Astyanax mexicanus: one gene and its partners. The protein of the gene in region 1 interacts with the protein of each later gene in a pairwise test. Links are inferred from orthologs where the notes say so. Each region holds a gene or a part of one and is shown in the gene's direction. Other genes may lie near its edges. The genes, in order: erlin1, fa2h and sec22a.

Region 1 (8,307 bases):
GTTCTATAATTGAAGACTATAGTGTGTCTTTTTATTGCATACTGTATTATCATCCTTTCAATGGTCAGGACACTTCTGGACTCCTACAGATATTATTATTTGGGTGGTGTGTCATTCTTAGCACTGCAGTGACACTGGCATGGTGACGGTGTGCTCAAACACAGCAGTGCTGGTGGAGTTTTTAAACACTGTCCACTCTGTTAGACACTACTACCTAACTGTTCTACTGTGCAGATGTAAGGTTAGAGACAGAAACTCACCTGTTGCTGCACAATTTGTTTTGGTCATGCTCTACTCATTCACTGGTGTTCACAGGATTATTCTCATTCCAGCTGTGACACTGAGGTGATTAAAAACTCCAGCAGCACTGCTGTATCTGATCCACTTGTACCAACACAACACACACTGCCATCACGTCAGTGTCACTGCAGTGCTGAGAATGACCCAAATAATACCTGCTCTTTGGTGGTCCTGAGGGTCCTGAGCAGTGAGGAACAGGGTAAAAGGTGAGTAATAAAGTATGCAGAGAAACAGAAGGTCTACAGTGTCACTATATTGAACTGCAAAGTGCTCTTATACGATCAGTGGAGCTGAAAAAAATGAAGGTGGTCATAAGGTTATGTTTAATTGGTACATAATAAAATAAACAGCAAAAAGGAAAAGTGTCTTTCACAGTTACTGATTATTAGTTTAATGATTCATAACTCAACAATCCTAGAGTTTAAATGCTGAATACAATGTATCCTCAGTGAGAGTAAGTGAACCATGATAAAACAATTCACACTAAATGACTGACACTCACATGCTCGAGGTTTCTTCTTCCTTGTGCCACAAACAGAACATGCCAAGTGACTGTGGCCAGTAAAAAAATGAACTGAGCTATCAGACAACATGCCAAGTTGGTGATCTGCACTCACATCATAACAACAGCACATACACTGCACATGTCGGATACAACAGATTTAATATCAGTGTGTAAAATTCAGCAGTGAAATGTTACTAAAGTGGGTAATAGTCTTTTTGTCAGATTGATGGGTGTGTTATATGGTTGGTAAACCACAGGCACTAACGGTTATCTGCTAAGAGAGGAAGGCAGTACAGAGTCCTGCATCCAGTGACAACAGCTGCAACTCTCCAGATTCTCAGACTGACTGGAAGCACACCTAAACACACACATACACACATGTTCAATGATTTTCCTTAAATAATATAATATAATAAAATCATAATGAGCTATATTTTTTAATAGAAATAAAAATTAATATAAAAAAGTTTTAAGGACTTGCAGTAATATAATTAGCAAGAAGTTCAGATACACTCCCTGAACAGTTGAATATTTGAATGGTTGGGGACCTTCTATACCTAATTACTCACAATAAATACTTTTAGGCAAAATGTGCCCCCCTCAAATAAAAATATTATTCACAATTATTTTTATGTAAATGCTTATTTTTTGCAAGAGCACAATACAAGTTATAAGAATAGAATACAAACAAGCAACACATATCTCATGTAATTAAAGTTTAATACTAACAAATTATATAAAACCATTGTATCATCGTAAAAAAAAATGTGCACAAATACATTAGTTCTGACATCTCAAATTAATATTGTGGCAATGTATTAAAGATGAAAAAAATAATGTTTATTTAACATCCGTTTCCTATCTTGGTTGTTATCATTCATAACTCAACTAAACAAGATGTAAGTATTACTTTACCACAAGTCCCCTCGCAGAACATCCAGGACTTTGACAGCTTTGTCTGCAACTCTGGTTTGTATCTGTAATATCTGTCCCTAAAAAAACAGTAAGCGTTATTACAGCTACTGAAAATCGGTACACATTTTTTGAGATATTATAAGAGATCTGACAAATCCCTACACTGAATATAATACATACCGATAACATTAAAACCATTCCCAGGTAAAATGAATACCTGTTGTCTATATAAAATTAAACTTGTTAAGGGATCGCTATATGAGCACCAACCATAACAGTAACTACACTAAGAAAACACACTTATTACCCAATTTCAACATAACTGAAAGGATTTCATCAACCAGTGGCTTGTAGGGGACACATACAAGTAAAGTTTTTTAGGTTTTATTAGCAGTAGAAAGCTTATCTGCTACTCACATCCAGCAGATGGCACTTGGGCACAGTCTTAGACCTTACTTGACTGTGAAGCTGATGAAGCAAAAACACACACAGTTCGGTTGTAAACAAGTCAGAATAACTGTAATCAATTTGACTGTTTGTGCTAAATCCACACTTTGACTTTTTGGCAGATTCAGAACTACTATAGTGTCAAAGATATGTCCCACACACAGTAGCTCATCCTGGGGAAGATGTAAAGCACAAATTCATACATTGTTTGCTCTTCTATAAGCTACAGCTCCTTTGAAAGAATGTACATGATGCTCTTAAGTAACTGTATCCCAGTGAAACATAACATAGCTTTAAAAATGTTTTCCCAAGAGATGGGGCCACGTTATGGGTCTATGAAAACAGTATGGGAATTCATTTTTATTACCAGAGTGACATCTGCTGGACACAGGCTATACCTACCTGGGACTACTCATATGAATTGATTTACTTTTCTCAGTGTTTCAGATTGGTACAGATCTTGTGCTGTACAGTCTGCAGCAGAGATGTGTTGTCCATTACAGTAGTTGTCTGTACCTCTTTAAAACCACGTGCCCTTCACCAGAGTGTAGACACTACAGGAGAACAGCAGTGCGCAGGGTGGGATTATGGACTATAAACGCTAATATGTGAACTACACTGGAGCAGCACTTAAAGTGAACGGAGCTAAACGGCTAAAAGCACAAAATAAAAATAGTAGCTAACCATAAGGCCAAGATATTTCTTGAATTTTATAAAGTAGAATAAAGTATTTTGTAAAAAGTATTTTTTTTTTTTTTTACATCTAAGAGATTTTAGGGGGGGTGAATAGAGCCAAACGGCTAAAAACAAAAAACAGTAACTTTTCACTTTAACACTTAAACAGGTATTCCTTGAGTTTTTGCTAAAAAAAAAAAAAAAGAAAAGAAAAAAACTTTATACAGCAAACGGATTTTATGGGTGAATTTAGCGAAACGTTTAAAACTTAAAATAAAAATAGTAAATATCCACTTAAACAGGATATTCCTTGAGTTTTCTAAGGACAATTTTTTATTTGTGGAAAAACGTAAGATCAAGGTCTTTATAGATAGTGGAATCCCAATTTTTTTTTCAATGATCATATAAAACAAAAACAAACATACATACGTACAGATTTAATTAACAAGAGAAATAGGAAGAAGAAGAAAAAACTCACCCACGTATCTGTTTTTTTTTTTGTAGAATAGTAAGAATTCTGTATTTTGCTAAAAAATATATATTTTTACAGTGAAAGGTTTTATGGAGGTTAAGGAAATGGGGATAAATTGAGCTAAACGTCTAAAAACTAAAACTAAAAAACATTACTCTTTTAAGTTAAAGGTGCTGCATTACTGTGCTACTGTGAGATGCCTGGTTGGTTTTGATGAGCTACTGAAGTTACAGCCAGAGCACGTTTATATCTTGAATTTAAACGCTTTATAAATATGCCTGTGGTGCTGACACATATATTGTTTTGTGTTGAGAAAATTTGAAGCATTTATAAACTCTGATTTAGCTGCGCGGCTGAAGTTGGCTTCTTGTTCGCCAGCGACTTATTCGGATTTTCGTTCCACCTTAAATGTTACTGCAGTTACATGCGGCCACCTGAAGATGAGGGGCTTTGATAGTAAAAAGCCACATTTAAGCACAACGCTGTGCAAACGCTCTAAATAAAATAAAAATAAAAAAACACATAAAAACGCTCAAAGTTTAACTTAGACTTGTATAGAATAAAATAAAATATAATAATAATAATATATAATAATAAAATATTATATTATTAAATATAGACTTAAGATAAAATACTTCAGACGGTTAAAATCCTGAAAAAGAACAAAAAAAAACACTGTGGATATTTTCCAAAATGACCCTGTGAACATAGCATGTAATATGTAGATGTGTATAGGCATGTAATATAAAAATAATCAAATGCCACTTTGGATCTTATTCACAGGGCATTATCTCCTCGTTCTCACACTGTTTAAAAAAAACTGACTGTCAAACTTAAGAAACAATATATCAGACTGTAAAAATCCTAAAGATGAACAAATATTACTTTTTGTTATAATGATGCTGTGATTATGTTCCAAACAAACACTGTCCACACTGTTATAGATTAGATGGTCTTGTTCATCTTAAATTCATTGTTTGCTTTGTTAAAAGCGCCACACAAAGAAATAAGACTTTATTTTATTTTATTTCATCTTACTTTTATTTTGGAGGCCGATTCCAGCCGAAGCTCAGCCCCGCCCCGCCCGGGCCGCTGACGCTGCTGCGCGCACGGTGGGAGCGGCTTGGGGGGCATGACTCCGGTCCTCCTCATCTAATGAAAGTGAAATGATAGACTCCAGCCTTCTCTGACTAACGAATGACAGGTAACGCGTTTATTCTGGGGCAGTTTATCTTTTCTGCGCTATCGGAAGCCGTGTGGTTTAAAAACTGTGCTGGTCCGCTGACTGTGCTGCTTCGGTTATTGGATAACGGCTAGCTAATAACGACAGGCTTGCCATTCATACTAACCCTGCATTAGCTGCTAACGCTAACAAGCTAATGCTGTCTGTATTGAACGTTAGCTTCAGCTGTAGTAGGAATGCTAGCTATATAACGTTAGCTCACCTATGTAAAGTTAGCTACTGACTAGGTAGCCTCTGTAAGCTGTTGTTTTACGGTTAACTAGTGTTAGATAGTTAGTTAAGGTTTTAGCGAGCAGTTAGCTTAGCATGTTCGTGGCTGTAGTTAGTGAGCTAGTTAGCTAATTAGCTTCCAGCGAGGCATTATTGACACTCCCATGTAATGGACAGCTCCGCTCCTGATAAGCTAGTTTAGCTAATGAACAACACGGTTTGAGTGCACAACGAGGAAGTAAGTTACACTATCCAGAAGCATTCAGAGTTTGCTCTTAATTTAACTAATCAGTGTTTCTTTAGTTCAGCTATTTTGACAGTTAAATGCACAGCTACTTAGACAGCTGTATGAAACCCGCATAGATAACTAGCTAGCTACCCAAAATAGCATTGCTGTCTCGTCGTTTCCTTATGGACTCTGCGAGGGGGGATGTTTGACATGCCATCTCAACCCAGACCAACCTGACAAACACAGTAAGTTAGTTATTTATGAGGGCAGAGCAGGCTGTGCTATTCTGTGATATATTCTTAATACATGTGTTTCATATTAGCTGATGATTTCATATTGTCCAGAATTGGTCCAGCAGGTTTTGCTTGTTGCACAAATTGACAATCTAGGGTACACAGGTTCCTGATTGTCAGTGAGTTAAGTTAAGCTAGCTAGCTTAGCTACGTTCAGGTCACATCAGCAAAGAAGTACAGTAACTTCTGTCTTTCATTTTTGCTTTCAACCTGAATGTATGTTATATAGTTAGCTGTTAGTCTTCTGAGAATTTCCCTTTTGCACAACATTTTCAGCTCTTACAAAAAAATAAGAGACCATTTCAGTTTCTGTATCAGTTTCTCTGATTTTGCTGTTTATAGCTATATGTTTGAGTATAAAGAAGATTGTTGTTTTATTCTATAAACTATGAACAACATTTATCTCTAATAAAAATATTGTAATTTAGAGCATTTATTTGCAGAAAATGAGAAATGGCTAAAATAACAAAAAAAATATATTCCAGATTATATATTGATTATATTCCAGAGGTTTTTAAGTAAAATAAAAAAACTCGTTTTTTCTCCAGAGCTGTATATGCTGTGCATTAGGTATAGGCAATATGGCCTTAAATAATATCATGGTATTTCAGGGTGTTTCCACAAAAATATGACAAAATATAAGACAAAACATAGATTTAAAAATATATATCATTTCAAGAATATATTACAGCAACACAATTAATATAACAACAGAAATCTACCTCAAATCTCGAGTGCAGCATATTTAGTGCATAATTTTATTGCATAAGACACCCCTAGACATCCATCTCTAGTAATGTGATGATGCTTATTAAGCAAATGTAAATAGCGAAATGTAAGCATGTGAATGCAGTACAGTGCAGTTGTCTTATGTGTATTAGCTACATTGCTTAGACACATAATTACATACTATTAAATATGCAGCATGTGTTTTTGGTGTTCTGAAAAATAAGTATTAATACTTTAATGTTATGCATTCCATCATATTTTCCATCATATCGTGTTGTGTTGTGTGTACGTAATTTTAATCATACTGAGAGATTTTTTTAATTAGGCCTTCAACTACTGACTATTTTTGTAGTTGATAAATTTATTTTTGTCGATTAGTCAACAATTGTTTATGCCATATCCTCCATCACTTTAAAATTAAAGAAACGGCTTAAATGCCTAGAAGCTGTTTAAAAGTGGAAGATACAGCTATTTTGTAAGTAATTACATTATCTTTTGTGTTTGGGCACTTTTGGAGACATAGAATGAGTTGAGCTTTTCTGTTCCGAGAACTTTGTGTAGTGCAATGCTGTTACAAATAATGATTAGTCGACATTTTTATAATTTCATAAGTTTATGATTATCAATGTCTATAATATCCACTTATCATTGCAGTCCTGTTAGATATGATGTTTTGCTTTGTGGGGGACACAGAAAGTAGACTGTTTATATTATGGCAAAAAAGTAATATAGAATAAATGAAAGAAGTGATGCACTGTGATTGTAAAATAAATTCCTGACATTTGTACTGTAATATTTTCGTATGTGCTTCTCTCTTGCTTTATGTCCTTTCTCTCCCTGTCTACACCAGTCTTAATCTGACATGGCCCCAATGTCCTCATTCTCTTTTTCCCTTGCAATGAAACTATTATCTCACTCTCTCTAAGAGTCCGTCAGGCCACAAATGACATGAAAATATAGAGGCACAGAGGCAAATCAGCAAGCTGCTTCTTACAGTAGGGAGAATGTGATCTGAGGGTGAACAGGAAATGTCTAAAATTCTTCATGCGTGGAGAAATATTTGCATATCCTAAAAAAAGTATCTTTAGGTGTACACACTTACAATGCAAAATGAGTTCAGGAATACATTTGTTAACTATGCATAACATTCCACCAGGTGAGTTTCTGGGCGAAGGATGACGATGGCGCATGTTGGGGCAGTGGTTGCGGCGATTGCTGGTGTGATGGCCATTATGCTTCACTCTTCCATACATAAGATTGAAGAGGGTCATTTAGCTGTTTATTACAGGTAAGTATTTTAAAAATAAAACATTTAAAAACAACTATATCTTAAAGAACTAAAACTAAATGTATTGTCTTTTATAGAGGTGGGGCTTTGCTAACCACTCCAAATGGCCCAGGCTATCACATCATGCTGCCTTTCATCACTACCTACAGATCTGTCCAGGTAAGAGCAGTTATTTGGAATTATGTTCTTGTATTCCCATTTGAAAAGTGCATCAGACATTTAAGTGTAATTTAAGATAAAAAAAATGCTCATACAAATTTGACTCTGGATATTGCTGCTTTCCAGTGAAAAAAAACGTATCTCAATTATTTTATCTTCAAAACACAGGAGCAGTCCTTCCTCCCCCTGTAGAGTTACTATTAAGGAAATGCATTTTTTTTCGTTGCACAGTGATCATATACAAAACTGTTTATTTAAAATGTATTAATTTTAGTAATTCCATTACTTTTACGTTTAACTGTCACACGGATTCGAAAAATGTCATTTGTTTTGTATATTATTATTTTCTAATCATGTTCTCTGTGATCTAGACAACAATGCAGACAGATGAAATCAAAAATGTGCCTTGTGGAACAAGGTAATGTAACCATTTATACAGATATAGGAATAGATAGAATAATATGTTATTCATATGCATATGCTTACTTAAATGACCTTTTACATTTTTAAGAACTTATCATAAGACTTAAGGTTTGTTTTTTGTTTGCTTGCTTGCAGTGGGGGTGTCATGATCTATTTTGATAGAATTGAGGTGGTCAACATGCTGGTGCCATTAGCAGGTATGAACAGTACTGAAGTTCGTGATGTTTGAAATGTTAGTAATGTTTAAAATAGAGGTGGCAAATCTGTCCAAAACAATCCTGTTTGGGTACAGGCTTTCAATTTTAAACAACCAGCAACACTCCTGATTCAACATGATTAATCAGTTGGTGTTTTTTTTTAACAACTGATGACATGAGCATTTGCTTGGCTGGAATGAAACCTGCAGCCACACCGGCAAT
Region 2 (8,922 bases), on another chromosome or scaffold:
TGTGATCCATCTGATCTGCACCTGTCACGCCCACACTCCAGCAAGAACGTAGCAGACGTATCTAGTCTAGTATGAAGATGATCCGTGCAGAGACTCAAGAGAACTCGAGAGAAATGTCCAAACTATAGTGCACTATAGGACTATAGTGGTGTGGCCTAAGCTTTTGTCCTTAACAGTATTTTTTACTCTTACATTACTTTTACTTTTATACTTTAAGTATACTTTAAACAATTACTTTTACACTTTTACTTAAGGAGTAAAAGATTGTGTTGATACTTCAACTTTACAGAAATATTTTAAACCCTAGTATCTACACTTCTACCTTCAGAGTGATGAGTGACATCTTTGCAAATATTTAAATGAATAAATATGTTCAAAAAGATTTTCATGAGGTGTCCAATTTTATGCACATCAGAAAGTAAGTGTGTGCATTTAGAAAAAGAGGATCTCATAAAGAAACATGCACAAGCTCATTTTACACTTACAGGCACACAGAGTTAATACTAGACTTTAGACTGATAGAAGTTAAAAAGTAAACCCTTAATGTTGTCAAGGATGTCAAATTACAGAATGTACCAGCTTTTAAGCCAAAAACATCTTGAGTTAAATGTAATTAATTAAACTTGCAGTGTACCGTGACAATTCTGCTACTGGACAGAAAATGCAGTCACAATTTTGCTGGCATCAACAGGGCAGTGTTGTTCCTTTTCAGCAGTCAATAAGTGTGTTTACCTGTAAAACTCTATATAGCATTAAAATTTAATCCAAAAGAACATAAAGTCAACAGTCAGTGAGTGTATTTACCTGTAAAACTCTATATAAAATTAGAATAAACCCAAATAAACATAAGTTCAGCAGTCAGTGAGTGTATTTACATGTAAAACTCCATAGAACATTAGAAGAAACCCAAATAAACATAAAGTCAGCAATCAGTGAGTGTTTTGAGTTTTACAGGTAAATGAAGGTGTGGTTATCTCCAATGAAGTGAAGGGTTTAATTGGAGATAACCACACCTTCAGTATTTACCTGTAAAACTATATATATATATATATATATATATATATATATATATATATATATATATATATATATATATATATATATATATTACTATATATATTACTATATATACTAATATATAACATTAGAAAACCCAAAAAAACATAAAGTCAGCAGTCAGCATGTGTGTATAACATTATAATAAACACAAATATACATAGAGTCAGAAGTCAGTTAGTGTATTTACCTGTAAAACTCTATATAACATTAGAATAAACCCAAATAAACATAAAGTCAGCAGTCAGTAAGTGGGTACAACATTATAATAAACCCAAATAGACATAAAGTCAGAAGTCAGTCAGTGTATTTATTTGTAAAACTCTATATAACAGCAAAATAAACCCAAATAAACTCAAAATCAGTTGTCTGAATATCTTGTTGTTGAAATATTCGGGTTTGAGATCGTATTACTCTAAATAAAGGAATGATTGGATGGATACTGACAGATAGAAAGGCAGTTGTACAGATAGGAAGCTGGTTGTAGGGAAAATGCGACAACACTGCGGCCTGGAGGTGAAACTGAAGCACTGTACACTGAAACTTCAGTTCACATGTGAATGTGGTGAAACCGGCTCTGCTCTGAGGAGACTGGTACTGATGAAAAAGTGGGGGAAGAGGCGTAACACAGACCAAACATGTTCAGCAAGCTTTTCTTTGAAGTGCACTATTTTAACTTCTGGAGAAGGTTTGCACTGTTTTTGTTGTGGGGGATGTTTACTGAGAATTAACCTCCAACATTTAGCCTGTCCTGTTCAAACCTGTCGGATGTGGGAGGTGTTATTAACAGGCATGATACAGCAGACATGTTTACATCTTAATATACAGGTTTTGATGTTAAATACTGATTTACTATCAGCAAGAAAATTAATAATTTATAACAACAGAGATCAATATTGGTAATTATTATTGTCCTGCAGTGAAATATTAATATGTAAATCCTGATTCTGAAGATTTAGGAGAAAAAACACTGGAATGGGGCTAGGAGGAGAAAATGACTCTTGTGAAAAGAGCATTAAAAGTATGTTTAAATTAGGTAAAGAATACTAAACTTACATTTTCAGTTTAATATACTCTATTAAATGTTGTAAGCATTACCTAAATTAAACATATTTATGTATATTTTATATTATACTTAAAGTGTATTAAAAAATGATGTTTAAAAAACACTTACTTAAGGCTACTTACGTTTACAGAAGTTATATATTAAAAGCATTCAAAGCACATCCTAATGCTTTTATGTTGTATTTAACACATATATAGCTTAATTACAACTGAAATATATTTAAGTGGATATAAGTTGTTACAAAATAGTACATTTAGTATGTATTTAAATATGTATGTACTCTTCTGTGTTAATTATCCTTTTAAAACATTACTTAATGCACTTTTCTTTGACAAGGGGACCCTCATATTTTGTACCATGCACCTATTAAAATTAAAAAATAAAATCACTACCTTGATGAAGGCTGGACTTTTTATGGACCCTGGTGAATTATTTACTCTGCCAGTAATAACGCATTTTGACATATCTCACTGCCTTCCACATGTTTCCCATCAGAGGAAATGGCATCACTGAGTGCATGTCACATGTTTTTATTAGCATTTCCTTCAAATGTAATGGATTTTTATAGCAGAGATAAGAGGGTTGACCATGACATTGGGACAGACATAAAATCTAAATATAATTTGTATATAAATAATTTTTAATAAAGTGTTAATAGAGTAAGCACAAAAACATGACTTAGATACAGGTTGTAAATCAAGAGGTAAAAGCAGTTAATAATGTAAGGAGTCAATAATGTGTAGTATGTGTCTACTATACATCAAGAATTTGTATTTGTGCAAAATGAATGGAAATTGTATTATTATTAAAATCTGATTTAATAAAAAAAATGTTTGAATAATTAAATGTTTATCTGGATATGCAAAATTTTGTCCCAACTCTAAAAACACTCTTGTTTTTAGAGTTGTTAAACCAAAATACTCTGTGAAACATTTAGGTGCTCTTATCTGGGGTCTTGTTAAATTGTAGTTTCTGAGGCTGGTAACTCTGATTAACTTTTCCTGTGCAACAGAGGTAACTTTTTGGTCTTCCTTTTCTGGGGTGGTCCTGATGAGTGCCAGTTTCATCATAACGTTTTTGATGGTCTTTGTGACTACACTTTGGATTGAAATATTATTTTTTTCTTTACTTAGTTGAGTAGTTCTTGACATAATATGAATAAGAACATTATAGAGCTATTCACTGTATACCAACTCTACCTCTTCACAACTTCACAACTGATGCTCTCAAACTCATGAATCTAAAACATCACCGTAGTTTGAATGACTTTTGTACTGTACAATCTATAATGCACAAAATTTCCAATTAATAATAAAAACACTGAATTTAAGGCGTGTCCAAACTTTTGACTGGTACTGTATTAAACGCTGTTTAGCCAGAGAGGGCGTGCTTGCCTTGTCCAAAACTTGTAGACAGTATCAGGCGACTATGGAAAATAAGGTGAAAATGAAAAAGGCTATTATTTGGCGATTAACTGATAATACAAAATTTGTGAAAAGTGTTAATTATTGGTTGCGTCACTGTACAAACTTAGCTTATCTTTTTTTTTTTTTTTTTTTTTTTACATCAGCTTATCTCTGCACTGCTGGACTCGCCCGCTTATGTAAACACCTGTGCAGGTAGTGCGCTCTGCGTTTACAGAGGGGGGTTAATTAGCATACAGACACGCCCCCATATCTATGCCTATGAAGTCTACGAGGGAGAATATCTCCTTTAAATCACCACTGACTACATTTATAGACGTTTCCTCACTAAACACTAGAAAAAAATAGAAACATATGAATAAAAAACTCAAGACAAAGATTCCCTGCTGTGTTTTTGCTCCATTCGCGCCAGTGCGCAACAGCTGCCTGAACAAGTCCAGCTGTGTCAGAAAGTAAGTGTGGACTAGTTGGTTTGGGTAAATGTTAGCTTGAGATACTCTTATATCCTGGTAATTTAAAATACACATACGAAGTTTTTTTTATACACATACACATACAAAAATGTATTACTCTGTAGGTAGAAGTATAGATAGTAGGGTTTAAAACACTTCTGTAGAAGTTGATGTATCAACTCAAGCTTTTTACTCTTTAAGTAAAAGTGTAAAAGTACTGGTTTTAAAACTGCTTAAAATTTAAAAGTAAAAGTAATGTAATGGGAAAAATGCAATTAAGGACACAAGCTTAGGCCGAGCCACAGGGTTTCATAGTGCACTACCCTAAACAGTGCACTTTTTCTAAAATCCATAATGACTATAATGTTATATTTAAATTTGGGATACAATTGAAAATGCATAGTACAATGCAGATATAATAAAGAAGCTAAGTTGGGACATTTAACCCTTGCAGACCCTGTGTCCATTACAATATACATCGTGTATTTTCTTTTTTATATGTTTTTTATGCATATAACAGTAATTAAGGCCTGGTTTCCAACGGAATAGACCATTATGAAAAAGACAAAGTTTATCAGTCAATAAAACAGTAGCTTAGCCCCGCCCACAGCACTGGAATAAACAGCATCTCAGACATTAGGACAAAGACTGAGCTATTTTTTTTATGTGATTTAGAACACTTTTTAAAATGTTTATTTTACGGTTTAGGGGTGGTTTGTGAAATAAAGGAAATAAATATCAAATTTTAAATAAAAATGCCAAACAATGCAATGGACATTAAAACGCAATTAAATATTTTAGTTATTTGGATTTCATTTTCATGTAGAATTTATATTAAATATTACAGTCCATACAGTCCAGTACAGTCCATACAGTCCAGTGTCCATATTTCAGGTCTGAAAGGGTTAAATCACCTTTGACTACATTTGAAGGAGTTTTCTCAACGTTAAAATGTGGCTTAAATCTGGTTGAAGTAATGCACCAATTCTTCACCATACCTGGAGGTATGTTCATATTCTATTTGTTTAACTGTTGTTTTTTTGAGATCAGATGTTTAGTCACATTGCTAGAGGTGGTTAACGTTCTTTATACTCAGCTTTACTACAGTGATGTAAGTTTATTGCTAATAGAATTTTCTAGTTTTAGCGAGCTCTGGTTTATTAAAGTTTGAACTTACAACGTTGAAACAACATTTCCATATCAACGTTGAATTACTTTTCAAAATTAACACCAAATTCAACGTTGATTTGGTGTTATACAACCATAACATCAACATTTGATTAAACGTTGAAATGGCAGCTGGGTAAACACGAGATTAAAGTAGATAAATATGAATAAAAACTGAAGACAAACGTTCTCTTCTGTGTTTTCGCTCCACGCGCGCCAGTGCGCAACAGGTGCCTGACCAAGCCCAGCTGTGGAAGCTCATGCATTATTCATCACATGCTAATGAGGAGCCTGCGGTTGCTAATCGAGGGAGGGAGGAAGAGAGAGAGAGTCAGGGCAAAAGTCAGAAGCAACTTTAGTTGGTTGTGTTTCTCGGGGCTGTGTAGCCGGACTGTGCTGTGGGGGTCTGAAAACCCATACTGTCCTCCTCCTCCTGTTGCTGCTGCTGTTTTAAAGTGGACACCTTAATATCTGATACAGCTTGATAACTCCAAAAACGACCAGATGTCGCCTTCGGTGTCCCCTCGCTTCTTCACCGAGAAAGAAGTGGCGAGGCACTGCAGTAAGGAGTCCTGCTGGGTGCTGAAGGGGACGCGGGTGTACGATGTGACCGGATTCCTCCGCATGCACCCGGGCGGAGAGGCGCTGATCCTGCGCCGCAGCGGCAAGGACATCAGCCCGGAGCTGGAGGGACCTCCACACCGCCACTCCGAGAACGCCAGGCGGTGGATGGAGCAGTACTACATCGGGGAACTAGACAGGGACAGTACGGAGTACTACACAGAGGTATGTTCCTTACTGCTGTTGGACTGTTTTAATGTTTTATACGACTTTAAACGAAGCTTTTCTCTATTTCTCATCATTTACCATCAAAGTTACAGAATCAGAGACTGAACAGATAACTTAGATGTTTAACTTAAGAACTTAAATAAGCTACAATAAACAACACCCATGCACCATACACCTTGCTTATATTTACGTGTTTCGTCTTATTAGCATAGGCTACTTATGGTAGAGGTAGAGACAGATGGAGCAGAGGGCGCTCACCTGGGAGACAGGTGAGGTAGGAAGGTAGGTGGGTGGGTAGGTGGAGGAGGTTCAGGTAGGCAGGTCCACTGGAGACACTGGAGACAGTTTGGGTTGTCATGTTGAGCTGCTAAATATATGTCTTTTTCCAATATATTTGTTTTCCAAGGCTGTTAACCGACAAATAAATTACAACAAATAAACAAATAAGGGTTTTTAGGCATCTCTGGTACATTTCTACAGAGCACCTGAGGTGACATAATGTAAAAAATAAATAAATAAATAAATAATGGAGTGCCAAAACTTATTAAAGCATGGAAACCTGTGGGGACAACTAAATTAAGTTTAAATTAAGTTAAGTTTGGACAATTCAATTGCATTTTTAAATTTATAATACACTGATACTATACACTGATTAGTGATCAGAGGTGTGGCCTTATCATAAAAATCAGTAAGCCTCGGGCAGCCATGTTCCAGTCGCTTGTCAATCGGTTGTCCTTTTTTGCGGGACTAATGGTGGGTACTGCCTGCTGCAAACACGGAACACCCCGCAAGACCTGCCTGATGTTTTGGACATGTTCTGAACCAGCCCAGTTGTCTAACCATCACAGTTTTGTTTTGTTTCAGTCAGAGTGCCTCGGTGTCTCAGATTACGCTTGCTATTTTATCCTGCTTTACTACATTATCTTTAAGAACGGACTGTTTACTTGCTGCCTAATATATGCATTCTAATATATCCATCTGATAATCAATGTCTTTCAATTCACCAGTCAGTGGTGCTAATGTTATGGCTGATTGTTTGTTCGCTGTCATATTGGCCCTCCCTTTGCTCAGATCACATCGTTTCTTTATTATGAGTGGACTGCATGAACTAATCTTTCACAGTGTCATATAATAGTACATTTTTTTTAAATAACAACCATGTAATATATATATATATAAATATATATATATATATATATATATATATATATATATATATATATATATATATATATATATATATATATATTGGAATTAGATAATTAAGTTCCGACCACAATAAATTGTGGCCATGCATTTTGATCTTGTTCCCATGCCTTAAGCTGTAGCCACACTTATATAAAGATACACAAATCATATCAAGATGCACAAATATTACACATCACTGTTTGTATACTGTTTCACGATAGACTCAAAGTTGGTATCAGATCAGTGCTTTCTGTATTTCTACGCTAATTACGTGTATTTGATTATTTATAGTGCAGCTCTTTACATAAAAAAATGCTTGACTACCAGTAATTGTAGCCTACCTGAATGGAAGGAAAGGTGCTAATTGCGTACTTAGTAGCCCTATGTGTGTGTGTGTGTGTGTGTTTGTGTGTGTGTGTGTGTGTGTGTGTTTGTGTGTTTGTGGAGCGAGAGTGTAAGACCGGTCTGGCTTGTCTGTCCCTCCTGGGACATTTATACATAATCCACAAAATAGTAGCTCTTGGAAAGCGTTCCATTGTGCCCTGCAGGCTTTTTCTGCACGTCCATCCGTCACTGCTGTGGTTATGTTATCTGGCCTTCCTGATTGCATCTCAACAGAGAGCTGGTGTGGCATGATTTCTGATGTTATTTTGAGATAATGTGGTCTAGTTAGTTTGGGCAAAAGTATGCTTGAGATAATCTAATATCCTGGTTATTTAAATATAAAGTATTCACATTCATTGCTCAGGTATAAGTATGAATTTTAGGGTTTAAACTACTTCTGTAGAAGTTGAAGCATCAACTCAAGCTTTTTAATCAAGTAAAAGTGTAAAAGATCTGGTTTCAAAACTACACTAGGGTTAAAGTATAAAAGTAAAAGTAATGTAAGTGGAAAAATGCCATTAAGGACTAAAGCTTAGGCTGCACCACATGGTCCTATAGTGTACTACCCCCCTTCCCCAAAACACATGTGCCAATGGCCAAACAAACATGAATATTGTCCACAGATTAGGCTCCAGGTCTGTTTATTTTTTCAGACACTTTTTTGTTTTAAAGCTACCAGTTCAAAAGCTTGAGACTAATCATGGCAGCTGTTGCAATGTGATTTGCATTGCATTGCAATCTTCCAAATTTAATCTAATTTAATAATTAAATAATGCAATTTAAAACGAATCTGCCCAACGGCCCAACATTCAAGCCTAACCCTTAGCTGACACATCTGTTGCATACACAGGGCTACCATTAACAGTAATTACTCAGTGCTTCTCTAAAAAGAACGGAAAATCAGCTGCTTCCTCCTGATAATTGCCTATTTATTGTATTTATTGTATGCTTGTTTTCAACCAGAAAGCTTGTATCTTAACAAAACAAGGAACCTTCTTATCTTTAAAAGTGTATATTCCAGTTAGTGGTGTTAAAATATTGTAATATTGTATTGTTATGCAATATTTTGCTATGGAATACTGCATCAAATTTAAAACATAGTGCTTCTTTTAGTGTTGTGCTCTGATGTTAGATCCTACTTTTCTTATATTGATAAAAAGGTAATTTTTTATTTAGGTTATAAAAATTATAGAGTAATTTTTTAGATTATGATGTTAGTTTTTCTCATAAATTGTATTTAAACAATTGCAGGATATCGCCCTGCTTACACTATTGCAATATGCCACAATGGGCTTGAATCTGTATTGAAGCCCTGTTATTTTAGAACTTTCCTATTAGTCCATCATCATAAGTAAATAATGCAATGGACAATTGCAATTATAAACAATTGCTTGAT
Region 3 (8,307 bases), on another chromosome or scaffold:
TGGTCAGGATTGAATGATGTGACAACCCTAACTTTTCTAATGCAACTTGTTTGTTGACATAAATTGTCCTCTATGTTTTGTCACATTTGTTTGGACTACGGGTGGACTCTGCTCACTATGGGCGTTCTGTCTGTGGCTTCAGACTTTAATTGCTCAGAGGAAAATTCAATAAGAGTCAGTGGGACAAATTACTCCGAATCAGAGAAGTCAAAGACATAAATACACCCCGATTATCTGTTCTGGAGAGATAAAGATTTTCTACTCTTACTCTGAAAGCAACAGTCAAAATGATGTACACCACTTGACAAAAGATCCATATAAACTCCTTTTCTTCTCCGTTCCACAGAGATGTAACGGCTACAATTGGGAAATCACAGTTTTCTGTATTTAATTGAGTTTTGTGATGAAAGAGGTACGACTTGCCTGCTTGTCCTGCTCTATTCTTCTCTAGGGGGTTATGTGGTGTGAGCATGTCTGCGTTGGCTTTGTCTGGTCTTCTTCAAATTCATCTAGGGTTTTGTGAGATTAAAAATCAACAGAAAATTGAAATTATGAATAGAGAAACTGGTTCTATGGGGAAAACACACATAGTGTGTTTATTATAGTCTGCTTATTGATTTTATATCCATCTGCTTCATTTAAACTGTCTTACAGTTTTTCTTTGTTGACACTGTGGGTCAGATTATACAGATTCACAACGAACCACCAGACTTTCTATGACATTAAGAGGAAACTAAGAGTTTCTCTCTTAAAACACGGCTGCACAATGCATATGATCTGAATCAGTTTCTCTGATTTTGCTATTTATAGGTTTATGTTTAAGTAAAATGAAAATTGTTGTTTTATTTTATAAACTACAGACAATATTTCTCCCAAATTCCAAAAAATATTCCGATACATGTAAAATCAGCCACTGCCTCTTTTCCATCTGCTGCTAATGCAGCATTGCTGAGTAGCATAACAGCGTGCTTGGAGGAAAGCGCAGCGACTTAGTTCTGATACATCAGCTCACAGACGCCTTGTGCTGATCAACATCACCCTAGGAGAGATGAGGGGATAGAACAAGGCCAATTGTGCTCTCTCAGGGCTCCGGCAGCTGATGGCAAGCTGCATGACCAGGATTTGAACCTGCTGATCACAGCTCTATGAATATGATGTGCCTGCTATGACCCCTGGATCCCTTCACTGTCTCTATAAGCAAATATATCACTGTTTTACCATCTGACACACTTCTTCTGAAAAGTACATTTGTATGCTGTCCTACATTTATCGGTCAGTCTCTGTACTGTGGGTAGAAATTCTAAATGCATTTAACTTTATGCTCTTAAATGGACTTGTCCAAGAGAAGGACATTCAGTTCTACTGATCAGCCCTAGAATACAGAGCAGATGTTTCAAACTCAGGATTTACATTTACATTTACTTTTACATTGTATTAACTGTAAGTCCTTATGTTAACTCACAGTTTGTATTGAACTATTTTATTCTCATTAAAACATATTGCAAACTGATTAAGTAAAAATATTTCAGAAAAGAGCATATCAATGGTTACATAATCAATGATTATCTCTCATTCTCTCCTTCTCTCACTATAATGCAGCCTAAGGATGATAAAATCTATTTCAAAAGCCTGTCAAGCATAATAAATCAAGCTAAAACACACACAAAAAGCAATGCAAACAAGTCGTTACAGCGTCTACCACATGAGTAAATACTTCAGTAATTTAATTTGCTATAATGATATCATCTGCTTCTTTAGGAAACAGCCTGCTGTAGAAAACTCAAGTACCAGATGTCACCAGTAAGTAAGATAATAATCAAACTCTTGCTTGAGGATCCAGGCCAACAGAAGAGAGAAAAAAACATCTTTTCCTTCCAAAGTGGTCCACAGCATGTCCAAATTTTTGTGGACATTTTCTCATCCAGTGTTTCTTCTGAAATAAGTGGTATTTATCAAACAAATGCCTCATGTTTTTTTTGCAGTAAAAGCCTCTACTCCAATAGAGACTTTGCACTAGATGCTTTGAACATTGCTGTGAGTATTTAATTGCACCCAGCCGAGAGAGCACGAGACAGGTCAGCTTCTATTGTGGGGGGCCATCAGCCACTCCACAGTCCAATAATGAGGGCTCTGATGTTTTACAAATGTTACAAATATTTCAAAGAGTAACTAAACCACCTGTTCTAGCTGACTCCACCCTCAGCTCAAATTTGAAAAATGCCTACAAATCAGAGGAGTAGTTTGGGAGGGGCATTGGGTGATGTATGGGTTTAGGGACAGGGCGGGGCAGAAGGGAGAGATGATTGGGCTGAGCAGTGTGCCTCTAATAGCAGTGAGACCATAGCCTGTATATAAATATGGACAGGGCGTCCCCATTCACTCTCATTATGGCATTTTGAAGCCAAAATATGGCCGAAATGGAACATGCCATCTTGTGTGCGCTCACGCAGTAGAGGCAAATTGGAGCCAGAACTGGCGTGGCACTGGCCAGTGCCTTCACCGTTCACCAAAACTGGCATTTTCACCAAAAAACTTGTTATTTAACTGCTAACCTGAGTTGGCTACTCTAGTTAACTAGTTAGCTAGCGTTAAGTAGTTAATGCTAGGTTAAAAACCTAACCTAAATAAAAAAAATACACAAGAACAAAGAACAAAGTATGAATACAAATTAATTGATGGAGGGAAATTATCCACATACGGAAAAAACTGCAGAGAACGTTTGCCTGAGGGTCTGTTACATAAGTTAACTGCAGAATAAGCCATTGCTTTACTTCAGATATCTCATTTTTAAAGTAAAATCCAAATGTCAGAAAGAGCCACAGTGGCGGTGCGCGTTCACACTCTCAGGCGACCTATCAATCAACTTGCCCTCAGCTGTCAATCAATCACCACATGCTACAACCCTTTAAATATCACGGAATTACTCCTATAAAACTTCAATTGAATGGAAATAGGCGGGGTTAAAAGTTGTACTGGAGCCAGCCACCAGAGGGCGTAAGAGATGTAGTGGCTTCACTTAAGCAATAATACACCAGAGGGAGTGCTATAACAAAGGCCGAGTGCCGAAGATCAGCACAGCAGTGCCAATATGACACGTTATAGCACGAACCTTGAGTGTATTATTGCGATTATACCACATTTCCATTATCACTGTTTATTGAAAGATTTTGAATTAAACCGGATGAGAAAATGCGATCGGTTTGTTTATAAACACTCCGCGAGTTAAAATAGTTCCATTACTACTTTAGCTGCGCTGTAAGCTCTGCATTATCGTCCATTTTAGTCACAATTGTGGAAATCTAAGCGTAACGTTACTGTAATTAAACGTAAGAGCTTTACCCTCACCCAAATAAATTTTTTTAGGAGGGAAATCTGTGTGGATTAGAGGTCCAGCGCTCGTTTGACTGAAAGAAAATGTTTTTTAAGAATTAAAGTTTTGTTTACTTCGGCGCCCCCCAGCGGTAAGACCTGCAGTATTACAAGAGTCCACCTTACATTCAGATTAAAATACCCTATATTAACTGGAAAATATATACACTTTTAATATAATAATAACAACAACTCTTAGCCTGATATTAGTGGCTAATAATGTGTGTAATAATGTCTATTTTTGAATAAATTTGGATTTATTTATTTGTGTGGCACCGCGTCTTTGCCTGCGCCCCCTATTGGAGACATGGCGTTCCTTCACTGTGCCTATGGAATCCAGCGCCCCCCAGTGGTGTTTAATGACATCGCATTTGGATTGTATTTGGCTGGTAATCGTTGCTAGGTTACCTGTATGTGGCGGAGTAATACATGAAGAGCTTCGGTTACAGTGCGTTATCGCCTAATAATGTCGCTCATAAAACGCCTCTCTAATTTTGGTATAATTTTCAATAACTGTCGTTCTGTCAATACTTATATACAGTCTATGGGTGAGACGCAGATTGTTGGACATCTCCAGGGGGGTGGGGTTATTGATAGATTGATTTGCATATTGTGAGTGTGCATTTACCAAAGCACACAAAAACGTCATCTTCGCCTATAACATAGTTGAACTTATGAGGGCGCTGCAGAGGTGGAAATAACTGCAACTGTAATCAAATGATATGACAAAAGTCTGGAAGAACACTGATAATGTATTAACACTGTAACAATGTAACACTGATGATGTATTCATTATTTACAGTTCCAGTTATAATACAAAAAAATAAGACAAGTATTTGGAGTTCTATAAAACATGAAAATCAAAGGCTTATCATATCACACTTTAATGCACTTGTCCAAGCCCAAAACAGATTAGATTTCTCTCACTGAACACAAAAAAAGAACTGAGGTAGAACAAACATAAAATTGCATATATTGCATTTTTGTTTAAAGTTAATGATATTGGTCTTTTGAAAATCTAGACTTTTTGTGTAAAGTTTTGTAGCTGATAGCTGTTAGTTTTTAAACTCTATTCATATTTAAAAAAAAAAATTCATAAATGTTCATTAATTATTATTATGTGTTAAATATTTACATTGCATCACTGTAATGTTAAATTTACTGTCCTTTATTAAGATATAGCTAGATATGCTGGTCTTTAAAAAAATATCCGTCATGTGTGTGTCAGGTTATGGTGCTAGTCAGAACAATGCTAAATGTTTACAGTTTCCTAAATTGAACCATCACATATTTATGAAATAATTATATAATCCACTACATTTTATTGTATCATTGTAATGTTTTATTTACTTTTTTATATAAAAGGGTTATTTTAAATGCTATATAGGCCTACTGTGAATATGCCTCAGAATATTGTCTAGGTAGGGAGCGTTGTGTTGTTTGGGACAGAGCCGCTCTTAATGCTGCTACTGCTGCTCCTCTTACCCATAATGCTCTTGGCTCAGACACGTCAGCGCTGGTGTATGGCTGCGTCCTCCCGCGGCGGAGCTGACAGACACAAACAAGCGGACAGAATGATGCTAAAGTCGGGACTCCAGCCGTTACCGGTGCCGAAGTGAGTACCGTCAGTGCGGGACGCGGGCCTGCTGCTGCCGGGGGCGGGTTCTGGTCCTGGTTCGGCCTGTTTGTGAGAGTCTGGGCTCAGGTTTGAGCTGCTGTCACCCAGCAGACAGTTATAGCTAAGCAGCTAACCAGCTAACAACAGTCTCTGTTTATACACAGTGACCGTAGACACACACATTATACTACATGATTTAGGTTAGACAGAGGTGTATCTGAAAGAGCCTGTGTTTGTTTATCTCATGTGGGCAACAGCTGCCAGATGCTGGAGAGATAGCTAGCTAATTAGGCTAATTAGGTTAATTAGCTCTGGTTTGTAACAGCTTGGTGTGCTAGGTTAGTTAATTTCGAGATGTTCAGCTTGATGACTGTGTAGTTTACAGCAAGTAATGATAGCTAACTATCTAGCTAGATAAACTCCCAGACAGTAGATTGAATATATTAATATTCAACACTACAATTGCTGTAAGTTTAACAGGCTTTATCCAGTGAATTAGACTAGCTAACTAACTAGTAAGATAAGCTGATATGCAGTAGATTAGCAAAATATGCTAATATTTATCACTGCAAATGCTTTAAATCTGTCAGGCTTATCCACTGAATTAGATTAACCAACTTACTTATTTACTTACACACTATCTAACTAACTAACTAACTAATCAGCTAGTTAGATAAACTGCTGTAAAATGCTGTAAATTAATCACGCTTATCCAGTGAATTAACTAACTAACTAACCAATTAACCAAGTAACTAACTAACTAACTAACTAACTAGCTAGATAAATTCCCAGGTAGTAGATTAAATTACTAAAAACTTCAAATACTGTAAATGTATTAGGCTTATCCAGTGAATTAGGCCAGCTATCTAACTAACTAGTTAGATAAGGTGCTAGGCAGTAGATTTGCAAAATATATTAATATTCAACACTACAAATGCTAAAAATCTATCAGGCTTACCCAGTGAGTTAGTTCAATTAACTAACTAACAAGCTGTATAAGCTGCTAGGCAGTAGATTAAATATATTAATATTCAACATTTCAAATGCTGCAAATTTATCAGATAAATGGTGGGATGGAAGATTATGCTTAATTTGTTTATTGTGAAAGATAATATGAAACATACATCATCATAACAGAGAAACACAACAAAAATACACACACACAACCCACCCTCTCTACTAGATGGTAGATTAAAAATTATATTAATAATCATCACTTCAAATGTTGTAAATTTATCAGGCTTATTCAGTGAATTAACTAACTAAGGAACTAGCTAGCTAGATAAACTGCTTGGCAGTAGATTAAATATATTAATATTCAATACTACAAATACTATACATTTCTCATGCTTATCCAGTAAATTAATGCTAGTTAGTTGTCTATGTTTCCTGCTGAGGAAAACAACATGACCAGCTCAAACTGATTAACCTTCTATGGCAGAGTTTTGCCCTTAGGCAACGAACACAATTTCATACCTTTTTTAATGTGTTTACTAAGTTGTTTTTTCTTTTGGGCAGCATTATAGAGCTAGAACACTTGCTGTAAAACATCTGATTCTGTTGATCAGTTTGTTATCAAAAGTCAAAAATATATATTTGACATATTCACAGGGAATCCCAAGCTTTTATCCTCCCAAAAAAACTAATGCCACAGAGGGTTACATTTAGTTTACCAGCCAAAGTGTATGTTCTCATATGATGTTCTCATTGATGTTTAATATGGTCTGCAAGCATGATCCACATGGCCAAGCTGGATAACCAGCATGTCCAAGCATGATCAAAAAATCAAATGCATACACTATAGCAGTCGAGAGCTGGTTAAACAGCTTTGTTACCAACAAGTAAACTGCCCAAACAAATAGTTTATTTCTGGATTCTGGATTACCAATTAACTCTATGGTGACAACTACATTCAAATGCTCAGAAATAATGGAATGCTCTCCTACACTCCTGCAGGATCCTGCTGTAAGATGTCTATGGTCCTGTTTGCCTCAGTGGTGCGGGTGAGGGACGGCCTGCCTCTCTCTGCCTCCACTGACTATGAGCAGGACAAAGGACTGCAGGAGACCAAGAAGCACCTCAAGGGTCTGTCCAAAAAACTCAGCCAGTTCCCTGACCGCTGCTCTCTCAAGACTGGACAGTACAATGTCAAGTAAGGATTCATTACTATCTGTATGCATCCCAATGCACTGTTGTGTGTTCTCGTTTAAGGGTGTAGAAAAAAACTGTATTCAACAGTGTTCCGCTGACTCTGAGATTCTGGGGCCTCATGTACTAAGACTTGGGTAAAATTTCTACAAAAATATAGCGTACAAGTACCGTACGCTTATAAAACTCCAGATGTATCAAACCATATGTAAGCAGAATGCCACGCACTCTCTCTTAGTACATCACAATCAACGACATATTGAGCGCACCTGCAGGAACACAACACTCCTCCTTGTCTCCGCCCTCAGTTATGCAGATTATAATATGCTAATTAGTATAAACAGGCCTTGGAATACTCTTACTAGAAAAATGGTGAAGATAAGATGCCATAAGAGGCATCTTGGGCCAAAGAAATCCCAATAATCAGAGTAAACACACTCTCAATAAATTTGGCCATTGGCAATATCTTCCAGTAATGCCAACACTGCCATTTACAACATATAAATCAATATAATCTAGATAGATGGATGGATAGATGGTAGATGATGGATGGATAGATATATGGATGGATGAATATTGAGATGGATGGATGGATGGATAATAGAGAAAGAGATTGATTGATTGATTGATGAATGGATGGATGGATGGATGATAGAGAGATTGATTGATGGATAACTGGGTGGGTGGATGGATAGATTAATAGATGTATATATAAAGATTATCCCAGGAACATTTAAACTCCAGCAGCATCATTACAGTACACAAATAATACACAGAAGGACCAGAGGAAAGGAAATAAACAAAAATGGAGAATATACAAAAAAACAGTAGATCCAGCAAAAGAAGTATTGCACATTATTATTGCACTTGGTTTAATATTATTGCGCATAGTCCGGTTTGTTATTTTTAGGTTTATAAGTATTAAAAGAAAAATGGCATTAACAGAATAAACAAAAAAAGTAAACACAGTATATACAAAAAGAAAAAAAACTAAATAACCATGACGATTATTTTGGTTATTTTCCTAATGCAAGATTATATTTGTTAGAGTAGTGTCAGGTTTAAGTATTTAGATATTATTTGCCCAAACTTAGAGTTTGAAAACTACACGTATTTCAGGCACAGCCTTCTGAAGTCAGCAGCAAAGTTTCTCTGTAAAATGAGTTTTCCTA

The links.
Region 2: the proteins of erlin1 (region 1) and fa2h interact in binary tests that used the Homo sapiens proteins (3 or more experiments, as listed by UniProt). The two-hybrid records come from large-scale screens. The link is inferred for Astyanax mexicanus from reciprocal best matches to the Homo sapiens genes ERLIN1 and FA2H.
Region 3: the proteins of erlin1 (region 1) and sec22a interact in binary tests that used the Homo sapiens proteins (3 or more experiments, as listed by UniProt). The two-hybrid records come from large-scale screens. The link is inferred for Astyanax mexicanus from reciprocal best matches to the Homo sapiens genes ERLIN1 and SEC22A.

Annotation. Positions count from the first base shown.
Region 1 is NC_064414.1:38,374,048-38,382,354, forward strand, and holds the start of erlin1 (erlin-1), read left to right. Parts: upstream 1-4,410; 5' UTR 4,411-4,518; intron 4,519-7,174; 5' UTR 7,175-7,193; coding exon 7,194-7,306; intron 7,307-7,383; coding exon 7,384-7,465; intron 7,466-7,836; coding exon 7,837-7,883; intron 7,884-8,023; coding exon 8,024-8,085; intron 8,086-8,307. UniProt on the Homo sapiens protein: Component of the ERLIN1/ERLIN2 complex which mediates the endoplasmic reticulum-associated degradation (ERAD) of inositol 1,4,5-trisphosphate receptors (IP3Rs).
Region 2 is NC_064417.1:7,284,516-7,293,437, forward strand, and holds the start of fa2h (fatty acid 2-hydroxylase), read left to right. Parts: upstream 1-5,494; 5' UTR 5,495-5,669; coding exon 5,670-5,951; intron 5,952-8,922. UniProt on the Homo sapiens protein: Catalyzes the hydroxylation of free fatty acids at the C-2 position to produce 2-hydroxy fatty acids, which are building blocks of sphingolipids and glycosphingolipids common in neural tissue and epidermis.
Region 3 is NC_064418.1:8,436,435-8,444,741, reverse strand, and holds the start of sec22a (vesicle-trafficking protein SEC22a), read left to right. Parts: upstream 1-4,854; 5' UTR 4,855-4,984; intron 4,985-6,943; 5' UTR 6,944-6,957; coding exon 6,958-7,139; intron 7,140-8,307. UniProt on the Homo sapiens protein: May be involved in vesicle transport between the ER and the Golgi complex.